4 linked regions of the Caenorhabditis elegans genome follow. The protein of the gene in region 3 purifies or fractionates together with the protein of the main gene of each other region. This does not show direct contact. Each region holds a gene or a part of one and is shown on either strand. Other genes may lie near its edges.

Region 1 (3,186 bases), 3.3 Mb from region 3:
ATGCCCAAACAATGGAAATCCGAAAATCGTACGAGGACACAATTTCCCATCCATGATTCGAACATTGAAAGATGAAGCAGGAGTAACTTATTTCGAATGGCTCATGAAGACTGATCTCAAAGGTATGAAAACTAAAACTTTATCAATTTTTCTATTCATTATATTTTTCAGGTGGCCTTCCACGCCGTCTTGTTCACTCGGGAATGGTCAATTACTTCAGTGAGCACGTGAAACGGATGAATGAGTTCGCAGAAACCCATTATCATTGTCCTCCTTGAGATTCAACACAAAATTATATTTTATACCTTGAATGTGATTTACTTTTTTTTTTCTGTAAGTATCTGTCCCCTATTTCCCATCGCTAGATATTCCTGCTAACCTTTATCATGACTAATCACTTTTTAAAGTTTCATACCTCCTTGCCCTTTCTGAATTTTCCCCTCACAATTCCAAACCAATATGAATATTAATTATTCCGAAAGATGTTTTTTTTGAAGAGAAAGTTTTATTTTAGAGACAAACAAAAGTTCAGAAAAATTTGGTAAATAGGAAAAGAAAGATTCAGTTAAATTAAGTGAAGGTTATATTAATATCAAAATTCTACAGCTTTTGCTGTTGTGACTCGACAATTGTTGCAAGCTCCTTGAGCACCTGCTTACGACGAGCTATTTCATCTTCTTCAGCTTTCAGTTCTTTTTCAATCTTTTCGATTTCAGCATCTGCTTCAGTGAGCATTTTCTCGGCAGTTTCGGAGAGGTGCAATGCGACATCTCGTTTTGCCTAAAACGATGAAAATGTGTATATTAATATTAAAATCAATATACAAACATTGACTGGATTATATCCCATTTCTCTTCCGAGTTGCTTATTTAATTCTTCAGATTCTCTCGTCAATTGTTCCATATCATCGAAAAGTTCGTAAACACTATTTTCTTTAATCATTTGATCAGTCTTCTCCAAAACTTTTTGTTGTGTTGATTTCGCCATTCGAGCCATCACAGCATCCACTGCAGCTTTATCCATGTTGAGTTTTCTATGAGAACTCTGAAAATTTTAGTTCTGGATAAAACGTGCAAAAATATCAAGCTTACCATTTTCCACAAATCCTGGGACTCTAACAATGATTTTGTGAATATTTCCAGAGTTGTGTCCAGCATTTGATTCAAGACTTCTTTTCTTTGCGACATGATATTGATTTTATCTAAAACGCGGAAAACTTACAAATACACTTAACAAGAAACTATGAAACGAAATTAAACAAGAAGTATTTTAAAAGTTATGGAACTTCACGCAGGAATAAATTTGAGCAGAAATACAAGTATTATGCATATTTATTTGTTAAATAAAATAAAGGAACATGAAATAGAACTATTCATCGCTTTCGTTTTCTCCTCCAAAACCAATTGTATGTGCGAAGTAGTTTAGATGAAGAGCGAACGCTTGTCTGTAATTATTACTGATCTTCAGAGCAAAATCTTCGAAATAGCCTACCGATTCTCAAACTTTCGGCCGCATCCAGAACATTTGAACGGATCGTCAATTTCGTGATATCCAATGTGCGTCATCCAGAGGATTGCGTCGGTGAAACTCTGTGAAAAATTACGTTTTTAAGATTTTCCAGAGCAAAAACCATACCATCAAGCAATGAGTGCATTGGTATTTCTCGTTATCATTCAATGGGAATAATTCTGCAATCACATCCGATAGTTTCGCGATCATCTCCGAATTGGAAGCTGATGATACAGACATAGCCATCTGAAAATTCAAGTTTCAACCTCTATCATGCTATAAATCCAACCTGCAATTGCTTTAAAATCCCATCATCTTCGTCTGCTTCATAGATTTCTTCCTTGACTTCGATTTCTAAAGCATCTTGAACATCGAATTGCTTTGATTCTTCCTTTGCTCCAACTGAAGTTTTTCTTTCCTTCCGGCTTTGATTCTTTTTCATTCGAAGGAAATCTTTCTGCTTGATAATCATTTCCTCCGCATATTCTTTAAGTTCTCCATGCTTGAATGTGTGATGGAATAGCATTTTACGGAAGGATACTGAAACTTCGGAGCAATCCTGAAATGTTTTGATTAGTTCTGTTTCAATCTATCGATATTTTACTTACCTTGCACTTTATCGATACTGTACCATTCACATGATGAGCTGTATTCGCATGATTCTCGCCCTCTAACATGGTCTCAACGAGTTGATCACATCCTTCGGCACGACAAGGTAGAGTTCTGAACGAAACAGTTTTTCAAAAATTTCAAAATATTTCTTGCAATTACCCTTTGCTGATGTGGTCGAGTGCGTGGAAAAACAGAGTATCCGTTCGATTGAACATTTTGTCGCAGAAATAGCACTCCAACAATTTGTCATCTAAAAATAAATATTGGTTTCATAAATCTAATCGCCTGAAACTAACTGTGCACTTTGATATGACAACGAAGGGATCTTTCAGACGTGAAAAATCGATCACATTGTTTACATTTAACTTTTACATCGGGGGAAGTTGTATTGGCATTCACCTGAAACGTTTTGATTATGATACTTAAAAGTAAAAATATAAAAGCTTTGAATAAATATTAATAATTACCTCGAGAATCGCGGATTCTTCCGGAAGGCCTTCCATTTAACACTGAATAATGATTCACCGTCACCGTCCATATCATCAATCTTACACGTCTCCATGATTATGAGTTGTCAAAAGGTCACGGGAATATTTGACAAGAAAAACGTTTGCGTGTCCTCATTCTTTCTTTTTCAAAACGCGTCGACTGCCGCCAAAAACGGCATTTGGCCTAGCTTTCCGAGAGACTCGGCCACGAATTGGGTACCTATCAAAAACTGATCGATTTGCATAATATTGGATCATAAATTGTAATTAGTTTCAATAAATACAATGCACAATGATATGTTTATTTGTTTTAATACAATTTCTTTTTGAAAATTGGTTTGTTATTCCGTTCAGAATCGAGTAAAGTGCGTGGCCTAGAAATTCCCGTTTTCTTTTGCCAAAATAATTGGCAGAGGTCTGCAGAGGTGCACTCAAAACCTGAACAAAGAGCAAGGAAAAGAGCAGCTGTCATTGACATACACCCGTTCATTCACAATATTTCATAACACAATATACACTCATATATATTTTATACACCTTTAATGCACATAGAATTACAAAGTTAGATATGAATCTC
Region 2 (5,184 bases), on a different chromosome or scaffold from region 3:
GAGAAACAAACAAGACAACTATTTTGACGAGCGACGTGAGAAATGATAGAAGTTGTTGCTCGCCTTTCTCTTTTACACTGGAAACGCAGAGAGACGAGAGATCGAGCGAGAGACCGCGCATTTGGATGGGTTGAAACGAATCAAATAAAAAACACATGAAGAATAACCGAAAACACAAATATAAATGTTTGAAGATCATTTGAAATTAAGAAGGCATGAACAGTAGTGATAAAACAAACCATTTCTAGAAATTTGATCAAATATGCTGTCAAAACAACGTCACTCATATAGATAAAAGTAAAAAATCAAGAATCACAAATGTTTTAGGGAAAATCTGAATTAGAAAATTGGAAGAAATGAAAATAATACATTTTGTAAACATTTTTTCTCAATTTTGGATGAAATCGATGAAGGGAAACCTTCAAAATTGTAAGACAAAAAGGCAAAAACAAAAAATAAATGGAGACCCGAAGAACTCGGGGGATGTCCAATTGGGGGGATTACCAGGGGATTGGTCCCGCCCACAGAACCGTGGCTTGCAATACGCCCATTTCTGCAACTGCCGCACGGTTTTAAAATTATTTTTTCTTGTTAATTCTCGCTCTATTGAGAAAAATACAGTTTTAAAACCGTGCGGCATTTGCAGAAATGGGCGTATTGCAAACCACGGTTCTGTGGGTGAGGCCAATCCCCCGAGTTGGTAATCCCCCCAATTGGACATCCCCCGAGTTCTTCGGGTCTCAATAAATGTTCGAAAGTATAGAAAGCATGCAAAATTGCGTTAAGTTAAATGCTGTCTGTGCAAACATCTCCGCAAAAGTTCAAAATTTTTTGCGCGGGGGCGCGGGTCTCACCACGAATACCGTACACTTGATACCGACAGGCGGGAAAAATCATTTTTAGAGTCTGATTTTTAGGCTTTGATTTTATTCTATTTTTCTCTTTTCGTTTTAAAATTTTATTTTCTTGCGGATCATTAGAAAAAAAAATGAAAACGCGCTTGAAATAACTTTCGAAGAACTTGGTTGAAATCAATATGTACTTTAAAGAGCTACCGCTCAACTAATATTGCACGAATTTTATTTAGAAAACTACTAATAAATTCTGCGTTTAGTATTTTCTACTGTTAGGGACGTGGAGGCCTTGTTGAAATTCGTGAAAACAAGCATAAATAGATCTCGATGAAGTATTATTCATTTTTCTTTATTTCACCAAAGCGTATCGATTGGCCTCTCTTCAAAACTGCGTTTGACTTGGTTCGGCTATTATTTTATACAAAGTCTGTGTCTTTCTCCCTTAAAATCAATCAATATTTGGCTCATAATACCTTCTTGCCTTTTGAATGCGAAAAGAAAACAATAAATACGTTTCCTCTATCCTCTTCTCGTAGCCTTCCCCCTCTAACCAAACGCGCTCCGTTGTACAATGCAAAACCGCCACTTTCAAATTTAGCTCCCATTTGACATCGAGAAGTTTGCTTATATTTATTCACCTCTTAAAATTGTCTTTTTTTCAAAACGATATCAAATTGCAGAATGAATCGAAAACCGCGAACCCGCAGTACGATTGTTCCTGGTCGAGTAAGTGATTCAGATTTTTAAAATTCTTAACAAATGTTTGATTTTTACAAAAAAAAAGTTCCACATTATGGTAATTTGATTGCTTACTTATTTTGTTTATTTCAGAAAATGATCACTGAAATCGTTGCTCTTCGTGAGGCTGGCTTGGACGATACAAGACCGTCGTACTTGGAGGAACCAACAGTTATCGTCGATGAATCGATGATGAATGATAGTGCAAATTTGGAGGAGCGAGAATGGAGAAAACAGGGACTATCTGAGAAGCAGATGTTCGCTATTTTGGAGAAAAGGAAACAAACACAGCTTAACAATGTAAATTTCAGTCACAAAATCTTTTCAACACCTAATAAACTATATTCAGGCCAGAAAACGTCTCGAAAAGGAAATGTACGGAGCGAAAACCTTCAAAGAGTTGATTGCTTGTCGTGAATACTCCGAATGTGAGAGCGACAGCGAGAACACTGTGAATCAAAATGTCCGAAGCGCTTCGGTTTTTGCCATTCCGGCGCTTCCGAAACACATCAGTGAAAAGTCGATGATGGGCTCGCCAATTGCTAATTCCAGAGGGGTATGAGATGAATTTGCGTGTTCATAGTTTAATAAATCTATAATTTCAGAGTGGAAAAGCTGGATTAAGTTGTTCAACTCCCAAGAGCTCGAGTGATACGTCGATGAGGTCCTTGAGATCGCTTGATATTTCACATGTCGTCAATACCGATCGACTAGATGCTGAAAGAGTGGTAAAATTTGTTTGTTTTAAAGATATTTAAACTAACTTTTATATCGTTTCAGACTGTTCACACCAAGTCTGTCGTTATCCCAACCATTCTCGAGGAGAGAGAGTCAACACTCCAGAAAACTCTCACGATTGAGAAGAATCACAGCTCTCAGCTGCAAAAAACCTTCACTGTGGCTGAAGATGCTCCTGAAGAACTTCAGAAAACGGTGACAATCGAGAAGAATCAGAGCTCGGAAATGCAAAGAACGTTTACGGTGGCTAAAGATGCATCAAAAGAGCAATCACAGCTTCAAAGAACGGTAACGATCGAGAAGAATCAAAGCTCTCAGCTGCAAGGAAACTTCACGGTGGCTAAAGATGCTCCTGAAGAACTTCAGAAAACGGTGACGATCGAGAAGAATCAGAGCTCGGAAATGCAGGGAACGGTCACAGTGGCTAAAGATGCAGAACACTCCTCTCTACAGAAAACGTTCACAAAGCCGACCGAGAAAGATGAGTCATCACTTCAAAGAACTTTCAACGTAGCTAACAGAGATGAAAATAACGATTCAACTCTTCAAAAGACGTTTATTATTGAAGAAAGAGATGCATACGAGCAAGGAACCACGAGTGTTGGTGTGAAGCCTCCAGTACTGGCACAAAACACGATGGAAGGAGGAGAAAAACGGAGAACGTCGAAAGTCACTTCGGATGAGCGAGAACGACGTAATGCCAGTATTTCTAATCCTCTTCACAACAGTATGCTCGAAAAGGAAGAAATTCAATCGCCGGGAGCCAACTTCTTCAAACATCCCCGAAAAAAGATCAGACCGGTGGTTCAAACGCCGCCACGAATCAAGGCAACCAGCAGACTTAGTACTGAATCGAATAAGGAGCGAACGATTGAGATGGAATCGGTAGCTGAAGAACGAACAATGGAAGCGGATTCTATTGGCTCGTCTTATATCTCTCCAACATTCAATGCATCTCGAGTTTCGCCGGTTCCAGAAGTTCCAGAAAAAGTGGAGCCAATGCATGTATCGAAAGCCGCAACTCCAAAGTATGTTTTTTTTCGAATTGCGGAATATTATTCTTATTTCTCCATTTTCCAGATCGATTCGGCACACGGATAATTCTATCCGTAATATTGGACCCACCAACAATGTCGAATGTGCTCGGGCTGCACTGCTCTCAACACCGACTAGGATGGATATCGTTGATTCTGTGAATCGAGTGACCCCGGCACGACGATATGAACAGCCTACTTTCGCTTCACTCGTCAAAAGGATGAATATGAAAGATGCTAATCGTTTGCTTGAGGAAACTTCACGAAAGAATACGCCTGCGAAGACTACTGCTACAACTTCTTCAGCCGCTGTTCGCATGGTTTTGGAGGATGATGAGGAGGATCAGGCGACGGAGGTCATTGAAAAAAGATCTGAAAATGGTGGTGTGATTGTCGATGGTGAGGATGAGGCAGCAGATTCAAGCAATCGCTCCCTGAACATCGAATTGAATGCGCTGACTGTCAACGAAGAGCCTGCACATGATATCAGTGCCATTGATTTTCCAGAGGACGATACAAATGAAATGAGATCTTCTTCTGACGAAGAAGAAATGGAAGCACGTCCAGATCCAAGGAAAAAGTCGTCTAGAAGACTCGGGCTTCTTAGTGAGTGTTACTTCACAAATAACAACGTTTTTAAAACAATTTCAGGTGATTCGATTGCTCTTGGTCTTGCTAGTTCGTCGAGAAGACGCCCAAACGACACATTCGTTGACGAAACATGGTATCCTGAACCGAATTCTAAAGGAAACAGACGTCCGAGAACACACAGGGGTATGAAACTGAAAGAGCATCAACTCAGTGAGTTTTAATTAATTAATGCAATCATTCGAAACTTTAAACATTTTCAGTGAAGCCAGAAGATGCTCCAGACGGTGTCCGAAGATCGACGCGTGTCCGCGTGAAGCCTGTTCGTTCGTGGCTTGGAGAACAACCGGTTTATGTCAATTCGCCGATTAGTGGCTGCAAGCGATTGACTGGTGTGACGGCCGTTGTCATCAAGGATCCGCGTTTGTGCTATTACAGAACTGCTGACGTCAGAACAGCAACCGAGCGAGAGCTGAAAGATAAGGCCAACAAAAGGGCTTTGGCGCAGGAAAAGAAGCAACAAAGACAGAATGCAAGAAGTGGGCGACGTCACGATAGTGACGACGATGAAGAAGATGATATGTGAAGAAATAACTATTGCTCCACTATTTAGCAATGTCAAAAAACCCATCTAATCCCAATACCTGTAAATAATGCAATTTTAAAGGGAATAAAGTTTGAATCTGTCAATCCTTTTTTATGTTTAGTTTATATCTGGTGAATTGTTCCAATAAATTTTATTTATTTTTCTTTAATTTGCGCGACATCCTCCATATGCCTAGCAAAAATTCAGATTAGCGATTTTCAATTTGCTCTAATGGGTTGTATATCCGGCTGAGCCACACACACACATACACATATTTATCACTAAGTCGTCGTCATAAGCGTGATATATACCGGATATATAAGATTTGGATATTTACGAAGAGGCGAGGGGTATAAATAAGCGACGGCCCGTTGAGGTATTCATGCACGCCACCTCCCGTGTCGCCTGGTTTTGGCGGCCGTCCTGTCAATCGTTTAGTAAGTCTTTTTTGCGCGCTTTTCCAGAAAAAAATCAGCTTTTCGTTTTGAAATGTTGTCACTTTACAAGATTTTTCCATGTATTCTAAGATTCTTCTTAAAGGCGCACGGATTTATTCAGATGGGTCTCGGCGCGCAAAAAAGTTTATGGTAGTCTTCTGAGAATTCTTCCTCGTTTTCCTCGGATTTTTAAATGAAATTACTTGGTT
Region 3 (5,611 bases):
TACGTACCTATGTACCTCCCGAGGTGTCAAACTCTTGCCTACCCGCCTTATTATGTATATTCTATTTGGAACTACAGTAGTAAATAGTAAGCTAAAATTATTTTTAAGAGAGGAGACTGAAGCTCCGATTTTTTAAACTCCGATTTTTAAACGCACAATAACTTCATTTTACAAAAAAAAACACGGCTACAAAAAAATTTGGTTACAAGGAATATTTATTCATTTGACTATTCAAACCATAAGTCTCCTTTAGATTGATTGAGAATGAACTAGGAATAAAAACATAACTTTGTGATTGCTCTGAGGCATAAATGTATAGGGGAAAAGGTAAACATCTTGAAGGAAATACAGCAAGTGCGGTTGATGCACAATGGGTATTTTTAGATGAAAAAAAAACTAAAATATATGGCACATTAGGTAAAGAATTATATGAGCATCAGAAGTATTGTAGGCCTGATGCAAGGGAAGGGTGAAGGCGGCATCTAAAATTATAATTTTTGACTGTTAATTTTTCGATATTAAACTCACTAGAAGTTCACAATTTTCTTAACAGCCTTAGAGAACACCAGCATTCGACTTTTCTTCAAATCGTTCCTCTGGGCAAACTTCTCGTGTTCTTCCGCGACTTTCATTTCGAGAGCATTTTTCTCTGAACGAAGTGCAATCATGTTTGAGCGTACATTTCGGAGTGCTTTCATTTTCTGGTCGAATTCCCATTGCTTCATCTCCATCCACTCCTTTCGGATTTTCCCGCTCTCTTCGCGTGATGGAGGAAGACTTCTCAGCTTTTCTAGTTCTTTTTGAACGACAGCCATCTTATCGAGACCTCTTAGCTGCTCAGCCATTTTCGAATTTCCTTGTTCTAGTTCAGCAATTTCCTGGTCACTTTCAATTTTTTTCTCGAGTGCAAATTTCAGACGAAGCTCCAAAAACTTGATTTCCGCGTCTTTTCTTGCAATCATAATCGCTTCTCGCTCATCATGACTAAACTTCAAGAGCTCCTTAGTCTTCAACATATCAATTTTCTCAGCAGAAAGTTGATTGGTTGAATTCAGAGAATCAATCTCGTGTTGTACTTTCATTTTCTCGTTTTCAACAATACGCTGAAATTTGAGAGCTTCTGGATGTTGTTCAGTGGACGGATCTTCAGATGTTAAATATACAACGTTGACCACAGCTGGATCGAAGTCTGGCATTTCGAATTGAGGAGATGGAGGTGGAAGTTGTACATTTTGTGACATCAATGATGGTGTTCCTGGGGCAGCAGTTTTTGAAGAATTCAGATGAGGAGAGCGGACTGATGTATTCTGAAAGACATTTTCGATTCAATACTCAAAGAGATATTCTTACCATCGCGAGAATATCTCTTCCCGAATCGTTCAAACTCATACTCGGCATCGAATCTTGACTCGTCTGCATAGTTTTATTCTGTCGATATTCTGTCAGAGCTTCCATTGTTTGCCCATTCATCGACATTATAGAATTCTCCAACGCAACACGACGAGGAGATTCACGAGCAGAATTCAGAAGAGATCGACGTCGTTTAGAGATAGACTGGTTGATGCTCAAATTGAAAGCCGAATATGTTGAAATCTTGGACGTGTTCACTGCTTCCGAGTCGACATTGTTCATGATTTGCGATGTTTCATTATGGCCTTGGAATGTGAAATTCGCGCCAGTATTCGAGGTATCTAAAACATACTTTTAATAGAGTTATTGAATAAACGAAATTTACCATTTTTCTGCAAAGTCTCATCTCCGAATTGCTCCTGCTCTTTGTTACTGTTCAGTTCAACAGCAATAGACTCATGGACCATGCTAATGTCTTCACACGTTGTAATTTGCATAGTTTTAAGAAGAGTATTGTTGTCCAATTCCATCGAATTGTTGAGAGTTGCACTCGAGTTGTGAAGGGCTGATGGTTCTTTAGTGGCAAGAGAAGCTGACTGTGAAGCAAGGATGACTGGCGTCTTCGACGAACCATCGTCTTCCAACTTTTGTGCTACATCAATCATGGAGGAGTGCATAAAAGCCCTTTCTTCTTCGATGAGCATAAACGACTTTTTGTCGATTTCCGAATGAACAGAAGATTCGTTTATCATGGATACGTTTTCTGAAGCATTTTCCTCTTGCCGCTCGAGAGACGTGTAGACATCATTAGTTGTAGTCACTTCTACATTCGACTTTGGCAACGTCAAGGTTCCATCATTTTGTGTCTCGTCAATGCTCATTTCGTCACCGAACACGATAGATTTCTGCGAATCAATGATCGAGTTGTTCTGAAAGAAATACATTTTTATTGGAAAGTGTGCTTAAAACTTACCGCTCCGATCTTTACTCTGGCAGGACTCTGGAACACAGCCATGGTGTCGTTTACTGCAGGTGAATCTCGAATCACCGAAATGTCCATTAAATCCTCCTTTTGAAGTTGCAAGCCGTCGTTCTGCTGATTACCAGCCTCACATGGTTGTTGTTCAGTGATATCCATATCCATGTCTAAATCTTCCACCTCATCTGCGATACTCGGGTATTTCGTTGATTTGTCAGCGGCTTCAATCGTTTTCTCGAGATCCATGCTGCTCTTACTGACGTGTTTCGGGCTGTTGAACATCGCCATAGTGTCATTTACTAGAACTTTCGGAATAGAAATGTCCATAAGCTGACTTGTCTCGAATTGATCATTTTTCTTCTCCGCGTTTAATACGGCCTGATCAGTGATGTCCATGTCCACAGGTACGACGTTCGAGGCGATATTTATTAGATTCTGAGGAACACCCAAACCCTTATTACAGATGTCTCTCGGACTGTTGAAAATGGCCAAAGTATCATTAACTTGAACTTGTGGCGCCGAAATGTCCATCAGTTGACTTGGCCCGAATGTATCATTTTTCTTTTCTTCAATTAAAGTGTGATGTTCAGTGATGTCCATGTCTACAGGCATGACGTTTGAATTAATCGGAATCCGGATAGCATTCATGGTATTATTTTCATCTAATTTACTCGTATCCATTTCAGCGGCTTCCAAGTTTGTGAAATTGAACACATTCATCTGTAAAATTAAGATAATTTGGTTCCTTCTATTAATTCAACATACCGTTTCATCGCACTGGCCGCCCGCTGCTTTTGATTCATCGAGGTCCATCGGTATAGTTCTATTCATTGTAGCGTTATGCTTCGGAACTTTGGGAATCGTGAAAAGAACTGAACGATCAACTGACATATCCTTATCTTCTTGATTCGTTGTATTGAACATTGCTAAGGTATCATCCAGTGGCATACTAACAATTCGCTCGGTAACTTTTGTTGTGGTTTCGACGATCTTTTCGTATAATAGTGTTGGATCTCTTGTGGTTTCAAACAATCTCGCCGTTTCGTTGTTCTCGTTGATAGTTGTTTCGAGAGACATATCCATAGTTTTATCGAGATTACCACCGCCGAACACTTGAAATGAGGACGTGCAGGCCGGAGATTCGGAAATATCCATGTTTCCGCCACGTGGTCTTAAAAAGATTTTTACGTATTCATTATTTCACGTTAAAGGATGGAACTCACGTCAAAATACCATCTGATCCAATAGTGTCAGTAATCTTCTCCTTAACTGGTGTGGCGTCAAGAATTTTACCATGGTCCCTGTCATACTGCCTGAAATAATTATTTTATTGATAAATTATTCACTGACTCTAACTGACTTGACATGCTTCACGTTATGAAAGCTGACTCGTCGATTAGTTGTTGTGGAACTAGGCCCACTGTTCATGACGGTTTCCTCGATGGTTTCGACGGCTTGCCGCACCTTGAGAATCGAGTTCCGCTTCTTACGAGGCTCCATCGACATGGCTGTAAATATGTTTTAAAAATGGTAATAAATTATGATTAAAAAAATAACAAAACAACGGCAGCATAAACTTCGTTAAATGGGAAAAGTAAAAAAGTGAAAAGTAAACGAAGGCAGTTTTGCTTGGCGGCAAATCTCTGTTTGAAATTGAACTTGTACAATGGAGCGAAGCTGCACTCGACACACCACCGGTTCCGTAGAACGCACACTACGAGTAATTCCTTAACTTGGGGCAGTATAATACAATTTTAATAGTTTAAAAAACCAATTGTTTCAAAAATTAGATAAAATTCAATATTAATAAATAAATATATGTACCATTACAGCTGATACACATTGCAAAAATATTTTCTACGAAATTCGAATTCTCAAAATCCGTAGTTTCTCTTGTGAGTACTGTATTTAGATATTTTTTCAGGCAGATTTCAATTAATTTTTTTTTAACCGTTAAGCTTTATTCAACACATAGAGAATCAGGCGGTATCTCTCCAGTCAGGGAATTCTAATTTTATTTGCACTTCTGTTCCATCTGGTGTAGTTTTATCCAAGAGCAATTGACATGATTTCTGAATCAATCGAGCCAAATTGTGGTGTTCTACGACAGGCTCTAAACCAATACAAATTAAGTTCCCAGAATTTTGTGATTTCTCAACTTAAAGGCAATGGAGTTTGTGGTGGAGATTCTTCAGTGACAATTATAGTTTCCATGTTCTTCTCAGTTGCTGAGAACACATTAACTCGATTCTGGAAAAGTTTTAATGAAAATCTACGTAAAAATAAAAATTACCGGCTTCTTTTTCACATTGAGAAGTTCTGCAGAATACGGATCATCTGATGCGTTCCATTCCGATTCTGTATAATTTTGAAGCGCTTCTCCAGTTGAGCTTGGTGGAACTAAAACTTTTTATTAAAAAAAAAACCGAAAAGTTATATATATTACTCACGGCTTATAGAAGTATCAGATTTACTAGGATTTTCTTCCTTCTTTTTGTTGTCCATCTTGTATTTGAAAATGATTTGTAAAATACATTTCCATAAGTGAAAACTCAAAATTACGTGTATTGCATTTTTTTTTCGAAATCTTTTAATTAAGAAAAAACATCTTTTGAAAAGGAAATAATTTTATTCTTCAAAACGATAAAATCAAAATCAAGAGGCAAAAAATGGCAGAGCAGCAACCAAGCAAAGAAGAAAAGAAAGAAGATAAAAAAGACGAAAAAGAAGAGGAACTACCAGCACCAAGTGTTCAGCAATCTATTCGACAGTTGCCGAAGATTCAAATTACTGATGATGGTAAGGATGAAATTTCAATATTACACAGATGCGAAATTTTGTTAGTTTACGCTGAGAAGTACGGTGCCCGGTCTCGACACGACCGAAATATTTTTAGGCAGCGTTTTTAGTTAGAAAACAGGCGTATGGCTTTAAGGACTACAGTAACCCAACTCCAAGCTATTTTACAGTTTTCGCATCTGGACAATACAAAGTTTAATTTCCAGATAAGGGCGAACAGCTGCCAGAATGCACTGAAGGAGAGTGGGATGCCAGTGATGAACCGTTCTCAGCTGAACTTCTGAACGTCAAAAATGCTCCAGTAAATATTCAAATTTGTAGTAAATCCTTCTAATCATCCAATTTCAGAACAAGGTATCCGTGTTCAGTGGTCCTTATCGTTCCAAAGAAACCATTGAAAAAATCAAAAAGTTCAGAGCAGCAATGCCTCCTGTCATTCCAATCATTGACGAACGGCCAGATAAGCTGGCTCAAATGATGAGT
Region 4 (4,213 bases), 2.4 Mb from region 3:
GAAAATTATAAAATCTGAAAAGAACATTATTTGAAAAAGCTTACTGCATAATTTGTAGAGTGAATTTTTCAGAAATACAATACAAAAATTGAGAAATGAACGAAAAATGTCAATGTTGAATGCAATAACTCGAGGCCCGCACGATTTATTTAAATTTATTTAGAATTTTGGTAGGATAATATTCAATTCAGAAGGACAATTCCAACTTGTAGAGCTAATGAGCGAAGAGAAGTTTAAAATTTCTGGAAAAGTTTTCATTTCAAGATAATTTTTTTTTCAAAAAACGTTTCAAAACTTCCGACTCTCACTTATTCCCTGTTTGAGCTTTCTCCAAAATAAGAAACCACGCCCACTTTTTGTCTTACTGTAGTCTTAAAGACGCAAACAAAAAAATACAAGGCAAAAAATTCAAAATTTCTAATTTTATTTTTAATTAAAAACAGAGGCACATAATCTCCCCGTAAATACCACTTGAGTGAATTCTTACCTGAAAAGTAAATTGGTGTGAAATTTCTAGAGCCTGGGAATGAAAAGAAAACATTTGAAAATAAAGACCACATGATTTATTTAGACTCAGTTAAAATTTTGTTATTGGTATGGAAGAAAGCATAACATTTACATTGAATAGAGATCAAATGAAGTGAAATTTTCGAGTTGAGTCATTCTATTTGAAAACGGAAAAACTCGAATCGTTAGGTTGTGGATCACAATTTTCCGTGTTCTCTCCGGCGTCGATTGTCGATGATCCGAATGTGTAATCACTCAGAAGGCGTCCGGTAAGAGAGCTTTTTAGACGTTCCATTTCACGTGCAGCTGCAGTGTTCTTCTCAAAAGCTACTTTCTGGGTTTCTTTGAACATTGCATTAAGTTTTGCGAATTTTGCAACAGCATCTTGGCAAGAGTTGGTGATTTGGGAAATCGTCTCACTGTGTGCGTTTTTTAGAGCGAGGAGTTCTTGCTTCTGAAAAAAATGTTGGTGAGTTTTATGAAGATTGATCTGACAAAAACCTTTTTAGCAATTTCCTGTGACACATCTGGCTGACTAGTTTTCAAATTTGCGATTTGCCTGAAAGATTTACATCGTTTAAAAAAATGTTTTCAAAGTATCAAATAAATTCCTCACTCGGTAATCTCCTCAATTCTACGCTGACGCTCTTCACTTTTCTGCGTGTGTTCTATACGCAATTGTTCATGAGTCTCCGACTGCTCGACGAGTCGCTTTTGTGCCGTTTCCATCTCCTTCATCATAAAATCCAATTGCTCCTCCATTTCCTTGAGCTTTCGAAGATTCTCACTTTCAACATCGATCAGGTCAATGATAACTTCTCGAACTTCAGTCCACTGATGGATCTTCTCAATAATCACTGGCACGTTCTTCTCCGAGTTGATGCAAATTTCACGAGCCTCGAGTTTTGCTTGAAGGCCTTTTCTGAAAATAATTACTTTTATTTTGAATTTTTGGAGAGACTGAAGATATATCAGTACTTTGATGATTCAAGACAATCGCGGAGCTCTTCAATGTGACGTTTCCTTTCCTCCATTTCTTGTTTCAGCTGTTCCGGCGATGTCAGAACTTCTTCATTCAAATGCTCAATTGTCTTTTTACCAGTTAGCATTTCCTTTTCGAGGGCTTGAATGTGCAGAATAGCTTCTTCTTTCTGCTTGTCGAGTTCTTCATTAATTTGACGAGTTTCGGTATATTCGTTCACAACATTTTTAAGTTCTGCCTTCGCATTGCTCTGTTCGTTGATTAATTCATGCTCATGACGTTTTCTTATGCTTTGTTTCGCGAGAAGATCATTTTTCTTCTTCTCGGCTTCTAACAACTCTTCCCGAATCTTTTCCATTTCGAACTTTCGATCACTGAACTCTTCGCTAATTTCATTGAACGCTGGAGTGGCCAATTCGTGAAGTTTCAGAAAATCTACAAGAAAACTTGTCAGCTTTCTGAATCGATGTTCGTGTTTTGCAGGTGTCACGAGATCGCACATCGTCAAGTCCAGCTTGTTGCCAGAATTATCTTTGATAAATGCTTTCCTGAAAAAATATTTCAGCAAATCTAACATTAAAATTAAAATCTTACATGCATTGGAAGAGAATAATGATAGGAATGCTCTTTTTATGCAATTCTGGATCATAATCACAGTTGGCGGACAGCGGAAGGGTCGTCAGCGAGCTTTCCGACACATTTAACACAAGCCTCACAAAATTAGCAAATATTTGTTGCGCTATTTCTGCCTGAAATCGGGTTATTTGTGCTGATGAATTCAATATTCTGTTCAAACTTACGGTTGGCTTGATAATGTCATCGGCGACAAGGCCCATATGCAATTTTTGACCAAGATACTTTGAAATCATCCGCGGATCATACACAATTAGTACAACGTTTGACATTTCTCCTGAAAAATGGAATTTCAGTTCTAAAAACACAAAAATAAAGTTAGAAATTGTTAAAAACAAAAAAGTTTATTTGAATTCGCCGAAGAGCGCGCCAAAACATGTGACATTTCTCGGCCGTGAAAACTAGGCCACCGCGGCCACAAACAAATTTTAGTTTTCTTCGCTGAAAAAAACATGTTTTTCAGTCTGAAATCAGAGTTTTTAGTATGAAACAAGATGGACGAGGCTTCCTGTAGATTTCCAGAATGGGTTTCTTCAAAAATCATCGATTATTACGCAGAGCAGGTAACATAAATCGCTGTGATGAAATAGGGACAAAATTTTTTTAATTTCAGAACATCAAAGCGCTGTTCGATTGGCAGATTGATGTGTTGAATGAGGCAAGACAATTTGAAGATCAACACTTGATATTCAGTGCGCCAACAAGTGCTGGGAAAAGCATTGTAGCTGAACTTTTATGTATTATTTTATCTGGTTTAAAGAATAAATGTTTAAAAACTGTAATTTTCAGCATGGAAAGTCGCTTCAACTGGTAGAAAGGTACTCTTCGTACTTCCTTATATCTCCGTGGCTCGAGAGAAACTTCATCAAATTCAACGGTGTTGGAGACGAGATGACATTTCTGTCTGTGGCTTCATTGGTCCACAGGCCTCAAATCCAAATGAGTGGCTTGGGGCAGTTTGTACCATCGAAAAAGCAGCAAGTTTGACAAATCGAGCATTATCAGAAGATTGGTTTGAGGAAATTGGTTAGATAAATCGATTTTAATTTAAAATTTTCACAAAAAGTAGCTTTCAGGAATGATAGTCGTTGATGAAATGCACATGGTTTTCGATTCGTCTCGTGGTGCACACATTGAGCACATGCTCTCGAAAGTTTTGCTCTGGAACCAATCTGCACTGGAAAAAGTTAGAATTATCGGAATGAGTGCAACTATTCCAGAACTTTATCGAATAGGCAAATGGCTGGACGGTGCGAAAGTTTTCGAAGCAAGATTTCGACCAATTGTTCTACAAAATCATATTGTAATTGGTTCGGAGTTGAGGAAATCTGGAGATAACAAAGTTCTAAGAGAATTCTCTGAAGATCCATTAATATTGCTTACCGAAGAGAGTTTTCGCCGCAATTCTCAGACTTTGGTAATGATTTCTTCGAAACTTGATGCCGAGAAGACTGCTTTGAATATTGCGTCGAGATTCCATGAGATCAATAAAACCGACAGCTCATTGTTGGAAATATTAAAAGAACGAGCCAATGGACTATTATTTATAAAGCATGGATTGGAACGGAATGGTTGCAAGGATCGGAATGTTATGTCAACACTTGCATGGGGAGTAGCATATCATCATGCTGGATTGACGATGGAGGAAAGAGAATGCATTGAACTAGGATTTCGGGAGAAAAATATTGTTATTCTTGTGGCTACAAGTACTTTGGCTTCAGGTGAGTGTTTTAAAATTTTAATTGTGGTCAACCGAAATATCGGAAGAAATTAAAAGCAAAATGTTTGTTGAAATATTTTTGGGGAAAAAATTAAATCAAACAATAATTTTCATTTAGGGTGAAGATTTGTTGATAAAAATTTACTTTAAACTTTCAAAAAATACTATTCACTCAAGAATTTCCAGTTGTTTGCTAATCCCGCTCTTCCCTTTTTTTTAAATCGAAAAGCGAAAATTTTTCGGTTTTTTTTTCGAGATTCCAAAATGTCGATTTTTCGAATAATAGCATACAATTTTGGCCCTTTTTAGCTGAAGAATATTAAATTTTTGTTTTCTTTTTTCTTATTGATGAAATAAGATAAAAGGTTCAA

The links.
Region 1: the proteins of knl-1 (region 3) and kbp-2 purify together in Caenorhabditis elegans (affinity purification with mass spectrometry, with the first as the bait; 2 studies listed by BioGRID). This does not show direct contact.
Region 2: the proteins of knl-1 (region 3) and hcp-4 purify together in Caenorhabditis elegans (affinity purification with western blotting; 2 studies listed by BioGRID, with this or other methods). This does not show direct contact.
Region 4: the proteins of knl-1 (region 3) and him-10 purify together in Caenorhabditis elegans (affinity purification with mass spectrometry; 2 studies listed by BioGRID, with this or other methods). This does not show direct contact.

What each region holds. Positions count from the first base shown.
Region 1 is NC_003281.10:4,902,684-4,905,869, forward strand, and holds kbp-2 (Mediator of RNA polymerase II transcription subunit 21), read right to left. Parts: upstream 1,202-3,186; 5' UTR 1,188-1,201; coding exon 1,092-1,187; intron 1,045-1,091; coding exon 829-1,044; intron 781-828; coding exon 601-780; 3' UTR 501-600; downstream 1-500. Other genes in the region: tag-340 (START domain-containing protein), read left to right, coding at 1-122, 172-278; F26F4.8 (C2H2-type domain-containing protein), read right to left, coding at 1,369-1,444, 1,492-1,589, 1,636-1,755, 1,799-2,068, 2,118-2,232, 2,281-2,371, 2,418-2,520, 2,589-2,624.
Region 2 is NC_003279.8:3,862,289-3,867,472, reverse strand, and holds hcp-4 (HoloCentric chromosome binding Protein), read left to right. Parts: upstream 1-1,534; 5' UTR 1,535-1,535; coding exon 1,536-1,580; intron 1,581-1,685; coding exon 1,686-1,892; intron 1,893-1,941; coding exon 1,942-2,148; intron 2,149-2,197; coding exon 2,198-2,320; intron 2,321-2,372; coding exon 2,373-3,358; intron 3,359-3,410; coding exon 3,411-3,970; intron 3,971-4,015; coding exon 4,016-4,165; intron 4,166-4,215; coding exon 4,216-4,538; 3' UTR 4,539-4,640; downstream 4,641-5,184. Other genes in the region: guk-1 (guanylate kinase), read left to right, coding at 4,921-4,975.
Region 3 is NC_003281.10:8,248,860-8,254,470, reverse strand, and holds knl-1 (Outer kinetochore KNL1 complex subunit knl-1), read right to left. Parts: upstream 3,840-5,611; 5' UTR 3,836-3,839; coding exon 3,690-3,835; intron 3,643-3,689; coding exon 3,553-3,642; intron 3,501-3,552; coding exon 3,095-3,500; intron 3,050-3,094; coding exon 2,324-3,049; intron 2,280-2,323; coding exon 1,736-2,279; intron 1,692-1,735; coding exon 1,351-1,691; intron 1,308-1,350; coding exon 528-1,307; downstream 1-527. Other genes in the region: C02F5.2 (DUF5356 domain-containing protein), read right to left, coding at 4,309-4,442, 4,489-4,579, 4,623-4,729, 4,780-4,834; C02F5.10 (uncharacterized protein), read left to right, coding at 4,999-5,128, 5,335-5,429, 5,477-5,611. UniProt on the Caenorhabditis elegans protein: Acts as a component of the outer kinetochore KNL1 complex that serves as a docking point for spindle assembly checkpoint components and mediates microtubule-kinetochore interactions.
Region 4 is NC_003281.10:5,801,446-5,805,658, reverse strand, and holds him-10 (Kinetochore protein Nuf2 homolog), read right to left. Parts: upstream 2,400-4,213; 5' UTR 2,395-2,399; coding exon 2,290-2,394; intron 2,239-2,289; coding exon 2,084-2,238; intron 2,038-2,083; coding exon 1,486-2,037; intron 1,430-1,485; coding exon 1,124-1,429; intron 1,067-1,123; coding exon 1,009-1,066; intron 962-1,008; coding exon 665-961; 3' UTR 547-664; downstream 1-546. Other genes in the region: R12B2.3 (Ras-associating domain-containing protein), read right to left, coding at 45-49; polq-1 (DNA polymerase theta), read left to right, coding at 2,617-2,685, 2,736-2,859, 2,912-3,148, 3,199-3,843. UniProt on the Caenorhabditis elegans protein: Acts as a component of the essential kinetochore-associated NDC80 complex, which is required for chromosome segregation in mitosis and meiosis and spindle checkpoint activity.